Linked DNA regions of Oryzias latipes. The main gene of each other region encodes a partner of the protein of the gene in region 3 in a complex. Links are inferred from orthologs where the notes say so. Each region holds a gene or a part of one and is shown on either strand. Other genes may lie near its edges.

Region 1 (4,218 bases), about 9.6 Mb from region 3:
CTCTGCTCTCAAACTGTTCATCAGGGAGGAGGGGGAAAACCTTACCTTGTAAGACACAAGTGCTCTCCATCTTGTCTGGAGATGTGAAGGGCTCAGTCTGCTGGGTTTTAACCTGCCTCTTAATTGTCCCAGCTGGAGGCTGATTAGCTGAATGGAGACTTCCTGCTGCATAGGAAGTTTTGCATTTGTGTAATTTCTACCAAATATAATATACCCAACAAAAAGTACTTGTCATAAGAAAAAGATCAAAACATGACAACACCATAAATTAGACATAAATTAGAGTGGTTTTCTTTTATTTTCAACTGTGGGATGTATGACAAAATGAAAAAGAAAAACATAGGGAGTTCCTAAAAATATGCTCAAAAATTCCTGAAAAATTAGGAATTTGAGAACAGAAAAATTCCTAAAAAGAATTTAAACACAACATATTGAATTTCATGTAAGTAGTTTTTCTCTGGGGAAATTCACCCGGCGATAGTGCCCTAGAGTTAACCATAAGTACATGTATTCCCCTAAACTAATACACTATTTTTTAATCATAATATTTTGATATTTATATCAGTTTGATAGGTCATTGTATGAATGTCTAACTGATGATTGTATTGTTTTTGTGTACTATTCTTATTTGATTGCTTTAAATAAACCATTTTCTAATCCAAATATTTGAATTTTGTTTAATTTTCTTATGTGAAATCAAAATTACAAGTAAACTTTAAAAGTCAAATTAAATTACAGGCCTAAATGAAGCTGTTCGCTGATCTTAATTAATGAGAACTGTTCTATCCAAATTTTTACTGAGATTGAGAAGATTGAGCTTAAAAGAAAAGTTATAAGATGAACAATGTTTACCTTCAACTCGCAACAATCATAAAAGACCTAACTATTGACTAATCATTTTATCTTAGCTTATAAGAAGAGTTCACAAATATTTTATATATTCATATACTGATTCATTTAAAACTAACCTTTTCATTATTTTTTTTAACTGTTTTCCGGTTTTAGATTAAATTTAACTTTTTGGGTTATTATTTTTCTAGCTTTATTTATTTATTTGTTAGTTAGTTAGTTAGTTAAGTTAGTTTGGCTCTTTTATTTTTAAGTTGGTTTTGTAGTGTAATTATTTCTTTTAGGACAATGTATCTTTGCTTCAATATTTTCATTCATTTATTTGTCTATATCATTTTTTTTCAATTCTATGTTGTATTTTTTTGTCTATATAATTATTATTATTATTATATTTTAAATTATTTATTTATTATTTATTTATTTTATAAATCTTAATTACAGCACCTAATTAAAAACCATTTTGAATCAACCAAACATTACATTTATTTTATTATAAAGCGTCTTAACATTTTATTTTGAAGGTCATCCATAGAGGTTTGAAGCCTTCTGCGCAGATCTACGGAGCACCTACGTCACTTGAGAGTCAGCAGTACGGAGAAGGGCGCGAGATAGAAATTGCGGCGCGCGGACGAAGCTCGCGCCTACCTCTAGCTGTGGCTTCCCGGCTCTATTATAACTGCAGTCGAGGTTCTTTCGTCAGAACTGGACATCCTGCAACGACCCAGCCGTGTCACCTGCAGGTTTTTCCCGCAAACACCTGCAGCCCAGCCCGGTGAAGTCCACGTTTGACCCAAATAACAGTGGGAAATGTCATCGTGGCCGCGCGGGTAAGATCCGTGTTTTTGTTTGCTTTTAAGTTTGCTTGTTTGTTTATGTTGCATCTGATGAGCTGACTTCTGCTCCGATCGGGTTGTGGGGAGTTTGCGCGGACTTTGACTGCCGCCTTTTTTCCGGACTTGGCTCAAACTCCGACCAGAATCACCGCCGGTACTTTTCCAGATCACTGCTTCCTGTCAGTAAAGCTGAGCCGCAATCCCGCGGATCCGGTCTTTCTTCGGCGCCTTTAGGGTCAAATCTCAACCTCTTTAATGTGTCCCGGCAGGGAGGACGGGGAGGAGGCCGCGCATCCGGACACGGACACCGATCTGACGGAGTTCAGGGATGGAGGGAAAGTAAAGGTCAGATGGACGCAGGAGGAGGTAAAAGTTCACCCTGAGTGGGGCCTGTGATTCTAGTGCAGTGTTTTTCAACCTTTTTTGAGCCACGACACACTTTAACCTTGACAAAAATCCTGCGGCACACCAGCATCCAAAAATGTGAGAGAAAAAAGGAAAAACTTATAGTCAGTCTGTATTGATCTACTACAGCCCCTCCGCAATCTCACATGCATTTTTGTGACAATTGTGGCAGAAAAAGCTGGAAGTTGCAGCTGTTTTTTTTCTAAAAGATGTAATAAAAGTTAAGTTAAAAGATTTAAAAACTGTTTGATCTGTTTTCGTTGTGGTTTCAAGACGTTTAACAAGGACGACTCATTCTGCGCTAAGACGCTGTCACTTTAACCCAATGCATCATGGGAGATGTAGTGCAAACAGCCGCAGAACGCAGAAAGACTAGCGTCTCTGAGCTTCATTCTTTTGTCCACTTTTTCCACGGTCTGATACCAGATTCTGTGGAAAGCTGCACCGCTAAAGACGAGCTTTAGCTGATATTTTTGTTGGAACTGAGAGACTTTATGAGCAGAATCGGAACAAGGAAGTGAAGACTTTAACCACTTCTGATTGGTCAGACTGTTGACGTGTGATTGAGCCTCCAAGAATGATTGGTGGAGACAGTTAAAGGGGCGGGACTATTCCTTATACAACTGTAGCTGCGGCTAAATCACGGTACCGTCATTCTTATCAACATGTCTTTAATAGAATCAAATAAACACAAAGAAAAATGTATTTTATGGTCTTTCATATTCCTAACTACTCAGTGTTTTATCAGGGCCTGTTTGGATGAACAAAGAGCTGTTATCCTGGAGTTGGGAAATCTTTTTAGATCAGTTAATGAGGGCAATTTCCCACGGCACACCAGACCATCTCCCCCGGCACCACGGCACACTGGTTGAAAAACACTGATATAGTAGCCCTCGTGGTTTTGCAGCGTAAAACAAAAATGATTTGTGTTTGTTTGTTTTTTGCAGGACGACAAGCTCAAAGGTCTGGTTCAAAAACTGGGGACAAATGACTGGAAACGAATCTGCAGCCACCTCCCTGTAGGTCTAATAGGGGCGTATCTGTCTGATCATCACTTTGTGTTGCACTGCAGGAACTTTGATTTATACAAATTTACGAAATCTTACTTTTATACAGGGGCGGAGCTACAGGCGGGCAAGAGGGGGCACCCCCCCCCCCCCCCTGCATAAATCTTAGCCTCCTAATATTTGAGTTGATATGATAATCATTATTTTCATAGGTTTAGAAATCATAAATACTAGCTTCTTTAAGTATTGCAAAAATAATTTTAAAAAAAATTATTTTAAAAAAAAGTTCTTGTTGCCACCCTTTCAAAGTCTTCCACCCCCCCTTTAAAATCTTCTAGCTCCGCCTCTGCTTTTATGATTTCTTTCACTGAAATGTTTTCTTGCAATTATCCAACACTTTTATTGCTCAGACTTAAAAATATAAAACCAAGTTTCAGCGATTACCGTAGGCAGTTTTAATATTCAGTTTTCCCTTTTATAAAGCATTTAGAGTTTAATCCTAGTTCAAATTTTCCCAAAGAAGAGAATCCCCTTTTGTAGGATTTTGGTAAACCGAATGTTGGATTTGTCAAAGTTGGGTGACTTGATGTTTTTTTTGTTTGTTTAAACTTTTTTTGCACTAAAAATCTGGGATTAAAAGACTTAAAATTATAAAAATTCCTTCAAATTGCAGAAAAAAATTTAAGGTGAGAGGATTTAATCTGCACATTATTTCTGATGACAAAAGAACAAGGACAAACCTGCAGCAAAAAATAAAGTTACATATATTTCAGAAAAAAACATTTTTTTTGGTTTTTCAAATCCTGTAGAGAGAGAAAGAAAACTGCTTTTTAAAGTACTTTAAACAATTGTTTGTCTTTTTTGAAGAAAAGGTTAACAATTATTTCAATATCGTTTTTTGCAAGTACTGTTTTGGTGACAAACATGTTGGGATTGATCTGGAGATGATCGGGATCAGAGGTTTAGTTAGGACGTTTTTCCAAACCTGACGCTTGTTCTGTTGGTCCAGAACCACTCGGAGAACCAGTGTCAGCACCGCTGGTTTAAGGTTTTGGATCCCGAGCTGGTTAAAGGTCCGTGGACTAAAGAGGAAGACGAGAAGGTAAGCTGCCATTCAATTAGCA
Region 2 (4,155 bases), on a different chromosome or scaffold from region 3:
AAAGCTCTGACCTGCTGCTCCACTCTGTTTATTCTGACCGGCTGAAAGTTGGTGGATGGCTGCTACTTCAGCTCAGCATCCTTTACAGGTGAGACTCATAAGAGAGCCCTAACTTTGCAGTTTATATCAGGTGAAAGTAACTCTTCTCGTAACTTTTTGCATTGCAAAGTGCTAAATACTGTAAGGCAGACCTCATATTTACATCTAGTTGGTGGGAATGTAAAGGCAATAAAGAATTTGTTGATTTTGAGTAGATCTTTGTCTTCCTTCCAGTTTCTACCTTTTTCATCCTCTGTCCTATGGCATGATGGGTCCTCTTGCCCATGAGCCGGGCAGTGCCATGGCAGGCCTGAAGTGGATAGACTCCTGGGACTTCTAGTTATCCTTGTTTGATTAAGATGTCACAGACACGGAGCATTTTGAGCCGAGGGAATTTCAAAACATCAGTTTGAGTCTAAACATTTCATTTGTCTTTCTGTAAGAAAAAATGTGAATTCAGTCAGTTTGGAAAGCAGATTGTAGAATCTTTTAAGATGCACTGGAGTTGTCACCAAGTTGCCTTTAGTGACAAACTAAATTCCATTTGAAAGAGACAGTAGTTGTTGTTTTTTTTAAAGCCAGAACATTTTACATGTATTTTTAGTTGAGATTGTCCTGAGCTTTAGTATTATACTTTTGATTTTGTGTTTTTATTATGTTGATCAATAAATTGTTTTATTCTTGTATTTCATGTCCTGTTATATTTGCAAAATTTACAAACACAAAACGAGATGTGCCGCAAAGTCAAAAAATTGGAAAACTCAATATATATATATATATATATATATATATATATATATATATATATATATATATATATATATATAATAAATTGTACCGTTTTTTTATGTATACTTAAGTTCAAACTTGTAAAATCTGTGAAACATGGGCCTAGTAAACTAAATGCAAGAAATTGTTGTTATAAAAATATAAACTAAATGCAAAACATTCCAAATCTGGGATGTGAAAGTCTTGTTTAATAATTGAGTTATGGTTTTTCTTTCCAGAAATAAAAACTAGAGGGAATAAAAGGTGATTTAAATGTCCCCTAAGGTAAAACCATAAAATGTACCAGCATTGTAACATTTCATTGAGACTATGGTGGGCTTAAATAAGGGTCTTTTCATTAAGTTATGACAGTAATGTTCGTACTACAATTTCTAAGACGATATAAATCTTTGAATAAAACGAACAGTAATCTTCTGTGCCTCTTGTAAACAGCGCGAGCACCATTGCCGCCCTCTAGCGGCGTAATTTTGAAAAACATCGCCACACCTCAAAACAGAGCGCGGCCGCTGCGATTGGTTGTTGCATGTCACATGATTATTTTGAAGATGGCGTCTCCAAATGGAGGTAAATTTTAATTCTTCTCTCCGATACGCTTTGAATACATCGCAAATGTGACAGTTTCGAGACATTTAAGTCGTTAACAGTTATAACGCAGTGTAATGTGAACACCCAGAGGTAACGTAAAATTTGTCGTAGGACTAAATTCTTGTTTAATCGGTTTGTTTTTCTTCCTTTGTTTTTCCTGATTCTGGGACTGACATTGTCCGCCGTTGATGATGACAGCAGCAGTCCAGATTGTTCTTCTTGTTGCTTCGTTTGGCCGTTTGGCTCGAATTAGCATCAGTGCTACATTTAGCACTTAGTTATTTTTCTCTACTTTAAATTAGTAGTAGCTGTTTTGGTTGCTTGTTAGATTTTGTGTGACTGTTCGACTCCTTTGATTGAAAATGGAATCAGTCTGCTATTAAGTATTATGTCCGTAATGAGTATCTTTTAATGTGTTAAAAATGTTGAAAGCAAATTCTAAAAAGTTTAACAGTCTGCAGAACCAATAATGTTATTAGTTAGTAATTCACACTCTGTCAAGAGTTATTGAAATTTTGGATACAATTCTCTATATTGGTGAAGGACCAGTGTTCAGATTTGATAGCAAAAGTAATTGTTGATAAGAAAGAAAACCCTTTATACATATACAGACAAATAAGAAAGAAAAGTGTCTCTAACAAGTGTGCCAAGAAAAGATCCCCCATACCATCACACCACCACCACCAGCAGCCTCAACTGTTGATACAAGGCAGGATGGATCTATGGTTTTATGTTGTTGATGCTACCATCTGAATGTCCCAGCAGGAATGGAGACTCTTCAGACCAGATGTTTTTCTAATCTTCTATTGTCCAGTTTTGGTGAGCCTGTGTGAATTAAAGCTTCAGTTTCCTGATCTTAGCTGACAGTAATGGCAGCATTAGGTGTGGTCTTCTGCTGCTGTAGCCTATCTGCCTCAAGGGTTGTTCAGAGATGCTCTTCTGCAGACCTTGGTTGAAACCAGTGGTTCTTTGAGTTCCTGTTTCCTTTCTATTAGCTGGAACCGGTCTGGCCATTCTCCTCTGATCTCTCACATCAACGAGGCATTTCTGTTTAAATGGCCAAACATATTTTTACAGCAGTGTAAGAGTTATTAGTAGATGATCAGATCACCACATGACTATGACCTCTTTGAACATTTTAATTGATCAGTGTTTGTACGAATCTTAAATGAATAAAACCATTTATTCTCATTCGAAACTGCCTAATTTTAAGACCAGATAAATATTAGATTTTTTCCTCTCTTTCTGTCTAGATAAAACATGAAACAAAAGTTGTTTTTAGGTTTCAATTTTTGACCTGTTTATAAAAAGTTACTTTTTAATTTTTTTTAAATTAACATTTGGCTGAATTTTATAGTTGACCACTGATTTCCAAAAGCATAGAACTTAAAAAACTAAAGAACATGTCAAAGTGAACCACTGTGTGCTTCTGCAGGGGAGGATTTTGAGATTTCGTTGCTGAGTTTTGAGAAGCTGGACAGAGCATCACCTGACCTGTGGCCAGAGCAGTGTAAGTTTCTATCCTCCCACGCCCAGCTGATAAAAAATTACTTTGTAATTGATTCTTTATGTGAATTCTCACACAGTGCCTGGAGTTGCAGAGTTTGCGGCAACTTGCAAAAATGTGAGTTTAGCTCTGATCTAAAGATGCAGGATTGACTCTGCATAGACTGATTGGAGTTGAGACTTTGTATGTTGTTGTTTTTCTCTTTTTATTGCAGCCTATCACCACCTCTCCTCCAAAGTGGATGGCTGAGTTGGAGAGTGAGGACATTGAAATGTTGAAAGGTTGGTTCAGACAGCTGACATTTATCCTGTATAAACCTTAGGGAAAACATTAAAAACCCACTCTGATAAGAAAAACCGTGTTTTGAACATGTTCTTGTGGCATTTGATATCTTGACATCTGATAATGGAGGACACGTATAAAGAAAATTAAGCTTGAAATTGCATTTCTGAGTTCTTATTTATTCAAATCGTTGTGAATCAGGAGCAGATGAAAAAATGCTGTTTGAAATTTCTTATTTCTTAATCAATATTGCTCGCCATTTTCGTTTCTAAGGTTAGGTTGGGGGTGTGAGTGGCTGTAAGCTAGCAGTAGAGTGTATAAACTGATGATCTACTGCAGCTCTGCTCTAACTGTCCTTAAAAATCACACAGTGTTTTTTTTCTATCTCGGCAAAAAACGGCATAATCATTCATTAAAAGACCTCTGGGAACGCCTTTTAACCCTTGTGCTATCTTAGATGACCCCACCCTTACATTGACGTGTTCTTCCGACCATGACAAAGGTGGATAAAGGTGGAAAGATTTCATGTAATCCATGGACACCAGTGAAGATCATAAATCATTGAAGAAAAAAAGTTCAGCGCACTGTCTAGTGGGTCTACATGACCCAACTCCCAACGTTAAAGTGCCTAGGATAGCACAAGGGTTACAACAGATCAAAAGATCAAATCCGAGTGGGACTTTAAATAATAATTCATGTTTCTTTAGCTAATTAAGTATCTCTAAATGCTTTTATTTAGTGTGATGTTATACCTCTGCAGAGCTGGGAAGTCTGACTACAGCCAATCTGATGGAAAAAGTCAAAGGACTTCAGAATCTGGCTTACCAGCTGGGTTTAGAGGAGTGTAAGTATAACAAAGACACTTCACCACTAGGGGGGGCTAAAAGCATTTCCACGCAATTCTCTGCCGCTGAAGTCTTTGGCTGCTTCCACATTCAAATTCCAAACAGGTT
Region 3 (4,028 bases):
ATCCCAGAAACTAAATGTCCCCATTCGTTTTTAGTCCATCGTTTTATGCTGTTTAAATTTGTATTTCCACTTGAACAAAATATCTAGGTTTGAGCTATAAATGCTTAAATTGTGATTTTTGAATGTTTCTTTTTATTATTACTTTTCCAGAGGTTTTTACTTTACCTTTATTCTACCAGGTAGTCCTATTGAGACAAGATCTTTTTTTCAAGGGAGTCTTGGTCCAGAGGCACATTTCAATACAAAAAAATACATAAAAACAAACATCATTAAAACCACATACATCATGAGAAGCAGTTGCACATTATTGTTTCAGTCTCTGATGCTTTGAGCTTGTTCTTAAAAACATTTAAAGATACCAGTTCAGTTAGTTTCCAGTCTTTCTGCAGCATTTTCCAAGCAGGAGGAGCAGAGTGGACTAAGGCTTTTTCCCAGCTCTGTGCAGCAAATGGAACAGAAACAACCGTCTAAGGATCAGAGGAGTGAGATTCCACACTTCTCCTTGTGATTAAGGAACAAATGTAGGGAGGGAGTAATAACCAATAGTAACTACCAATAATAATAACCAATAATAATTACCAATAATAATTACTAATAATAATAACCAATAATAATTACCAATAATAATTACTAATAATAATAACCAATAATAATAACCGATAATAATAACCAATAATAATTAACAATAATAATAACCAATAATAATTACTAATAATAATAACCAATAATAATTACCAATAATAATTACTAATAATAATAACCAATAATAATAACCGATAATAATAACCAATAATAATTAACAATAATAATAACCAATAATAATAACCGATAAAAATAACAAATAATAATGACCAATTGTAGTAACCAATAATAACAACCAGTAGTAAGAACCAATAATAATAACCAATAATAATAACCGATAATAATAACCAATAATAATTAACAATAATAATAACCAATAATAATAACCGATAATAATAACCAATAATAATTAACAATAATAATAACCAGTAATAATAACCGATAATGATAACTAATGTCCCTGCCTCCTAGTGGCCAGAGAAGTTTTTGCCTTCAATGTGTTCGTGCTTTTGTTTTTTATAAAGTTTTAGAAAAAAAAGTTGACATCCGGTACATAAGAAAGGGGGAGAGGGGGGCGTAGGTTTCTCGCCTCTGATTGGTCAGAAGGGTAAAGTTTTCGCGCCACCGCACTGCATGCTGGGAGCTGTTAGCGGAAGCGACGGGAACCGTGTTGTTGTGGTGAGAGCTCGGCTCCGCCGTTGTTTGGTTCTGTGGGTCGGATTCGAGCTGCGCGGACGGGCAGCGCTGGTTCTGTGGATGAGAGGGGAGGAGTCTTCGGATTCTGAGTCGGGGAGGATGGAGGAGAGTTCGGTCCGGAGGAGTTTGGAGGTGCTGTGTCAGGAGCTCAACATGGACGAGCAGACAGCCAGTGAGGCCATGGACAACTTCACCTCCATATGGAACACATACACTCTGGAGGTAAACGACTGGCTTCGGTTCGGTTCGGTTCGGGGGGGGGTTAGAGTCTCCCGGGGGCGCTGTAGACTGACCCGCTATGAGCCAACGAGCGCTTCTGCTCTGCGACCTCCGGTCATGATATACATTAATACATGATGCTGTGACGTGAGTTTTCCTGAAGCTTACCGGAGATTTTTGTGTTTACACACAGAAACACTGAAATGAGGCTTATTTGTGAGACTGAGTTAAAACATCCAGGTGTTGATTTGAGTCATAGGATTGTTGTTTACGTCCGTTGTTGAATCAACGTCACAGCGAGATGCTGCAGGTGACGGGAAGAGGAGCCTCGTCTTTAGGTTTACCTGGTAACTAATGGCAATAAATAGATGGCAATAAACGGAAGGTGTATTTATTATCTACAACATGGAGGTGGATGCACTGAATTTTTAAATATGAAGTCCTTATTTTTTTAGCAAAAACTAAGAAAATATTAGCAAGAAAACAGTATTTGAGGGGCGTAAAGAGAATTATAAATTCCTACTGATTGAACAGGGCAGTGAACACAGCACGACTCACCTGCATAAAGGAGGATTTGTAATCAAAGGCGTCTAATATCTGGATTTTTGATTTGATGTGGCTTTAAAAGGGACTCTGTTCATTTATCTGTTGCTGTCTAGAAAAGTGACCCAAAGAACAGAAACGTCCAAAACTTTACTAGATTTGTTTTAGCTCTTTGATTAATATACAGTAATAATAATCACACATTTTATTTAGATGGCGCCTTTCTGAGCACTCAAGGTTGCTGTACATCATATGTACTTATATAAAATATAATAAACAGTTAAAACAGCAATTTAAATAAATACAAATAATAAAAATATTTAAAAACAGGAAAAGGTTACAGTGAATGGGCCATTTGGAGGAAATGAGTTTAGTTGTTTTTATTTGATGATTTTTTATGGATTTGTTTGATCTCAGGGTTGAGATGGTGGATTTGTTCTGTGCGCTCCTGCTGCTGTTTAACACGATGGCGTTGAAGATGGAGATGCCTGAAATTCTTCACATGATTCAATGTTTCTTTAAATGTAGAAAAATGACGTCACTCTGGTGAATAAATTCAGCATTTTTGTAGCATATTTGGTTCCAAACGGATCCAAATGTTGTACATTTAGTTGTAATAACTGGATTTTATGTTGATGCGTTATTTTAACTAGACGAGTGAACGTTAGGAAATCGTTTATCTCTGTTGTTGTCTCCATAAAACAGCTGTTACACCTCATTATGAATTCATATGGTTAAAGATGTAAAGTCTATTTTGAGCAAAATGAAAAGAATGAAATAAAACGCAGTATTTTACTGAAATGTGACTGAATGCTGAACGTGTTCATGTTTCATCTACTAGCTGTTCCTGAGGGTTTAGCACAGGGTTTTGTTCAGAAGAACCTGAACCTTTACCAATCATTTCATTCACGCACCAATGGAGGCACAGCTGCCATGCCAGACGCTAACAGGCCCAAGGGCACTCGGGCACCGGTGGGTGGGCAGAGCTGGACGATGCAGAAATGTGCCGTTGTGTTCCTGCAGGGGGAGGTGGTCCACTGGCTGGCCTGTTCTCTGTACGCCGCCTGCAGGAAGGGGTCCACCCCCACTGTGGGGAAGGGGCTGATGGAGGGCAACTGTGTGTCCCTGACCCGGATCCTGCGCTGCTCCAAGCTCAGGTCAGGTTCTGCTCTGCAGCTTCTGCTGGATTTTACAGCCAGTCCCGGTCAAACGGGATCCGCCTGTGCAACTTTGGGATTTGCGTCTTCATGTTTGGTCCCGTTTGTTGTCGGCCCCCCTCCCAGCCTGATCCAGTTCTTCTCTAAGATGAGGAAGTGGGCCGACATGTCAAACCTGTCACAAGACTTCCGGCTGAGGATGGACCGGCTGGAGCGAAACTTTGAGGTGTCCACCGTGATCTTCCGCAAGTTCGAGCCCATCTTCATGGACATGTTCCAGAACCCACAGGGCAGCGAGCCCCCCCGGCAGCCCCGCAGCAGGAAGCACAGGTGGGACGCCGGCGCGCCTCAGGCATGACGGTGTATACTATATACATGTCCACAGTATACTATATATACACACATACACACATGGTGCATTGCGTCTTGTTGGAATATCTTGAGTTCAAATAAAACCCGAGCAAAGGTTTTGACAAAAACAAATACATTTTAGGCTTTTGTCTTGATGTTTCATCCTTTTTACTGATCTGAGACATGATCCAAACCGTGAGTGTTGGGATCCGTTGCAGCTCCATCTCTACTGCAGACACAGCTTGAACTCTGACCTCCACGTCAGAGACGCTGCTGCATGTTTGCACCGACAGCAGCTTTCAGCAGATGTGGAGTTTTCCGGAATGTTCTGGGCTTTAGGATCTGCTCCTGTGTGTCTGCAGACGGCTGCCCTGTCACATCAGTGATGTCTTCAAGTTCTGCTGGACCCTCTTTGTCTACACCAAAGGTACCGAGAAACAAGCCGGACGACCTTCCTGAACCCTCTGGGTTTGCTTGAGC

What was found. The genes of interacting proteins can lie anywhere in the genome.
Region 1: rbl1 (region 3) and mybl2 share a complex: the UniProt entries of both Homo sapiens proteins name them as parts of the DREAM complex. The link is inferred for Oryzias latipes from reciprocal best matches to the Homo sapiens genes RBL1 and MYBL2.
Region 2: rbl1 (region 3) and lin52 share a complex: the UniProt entries of both Homo sapiens proteins name them as parts of the DREAM complex. The link is inferred for Oryzias latipes from reciprocal best matches to the Homo sapiens genes RBL1 and LIN52.

Annotation. Positions count from the first base shown.
Region 1 is NC_019863.2:23,223,541-23,227,758, reverse strand, and holds the start of mybl2 (myb-related protein B), read left to right. Parts: upstream 1-1,418; 5' UTR 1,419-1,656; coding exon 1,657-1,676; intron 1,677-1,951; coding exon 1,952-2,048; intron 2,049-3,034; coding exon 3,035-3,106; intron 3,107-4,103; coding exon 4,104-4,196; intron 4,197-4,218. Other genes in the region: uncharacterized protein LOC101163484, read right to left, coding at 46-70. UniProt on the Homo sapiens protein: Transcription factor involved in the regulation of cell survival, proliferation, and differentiation. Transactivates the expression of the CLU gene.
Region 2 is NC_019880.2:13,721,197-13,725,351, forward strand, and holds the start of lin52 (protein lin-52 homolog), read left to right. Parts: upstream 1-1,355; 5' UTR 1,356-1,358; coding exon 1,359-1,392; intron 1,393-1,443; exon of another isoform or gene 1,444-1,503; intron 1,504-2,178; coding exon 2,179-2,232; intron 2,233-2,848; coding exon 2,849-2,923; intron 2,924-2,999; coding exon 3,000-3,037; intron 3,038-3,134; coding exon 3,135-3,201; intron 3,202-3,962; coding exon 3,963-4,046; intron 4,047-4,155. Other genes in the region: pomt2 (protein O-mannosyl-transferase 2), read left to right, coding at 1-88, 274-379.
Region 3 is NC_019863.2:32,786,893-32,790,920, reverse strand, and holds the start of rbl1 (retinoblastoma-like protein 1), read left to right. Parts: upstream 1-1,228; 5' UTR 1,229-1,338; coding exon 1,339-1,500; intron 1,501-3,063; coding exon 3,064-3,197; intron 3,198-3,323; coding exon 3,324-3,527; intron 3,528-3,910; coding exon 3,911-3,975; intron 3,976-4,028. UniProt on the Homo sapiens protein: Key regulator of entry into cell division. Directly involved in heterochromatin formation by maintaining overall chromatin structure and, in particular, that of constitutive heterochromatin by stabilizing histone methylation.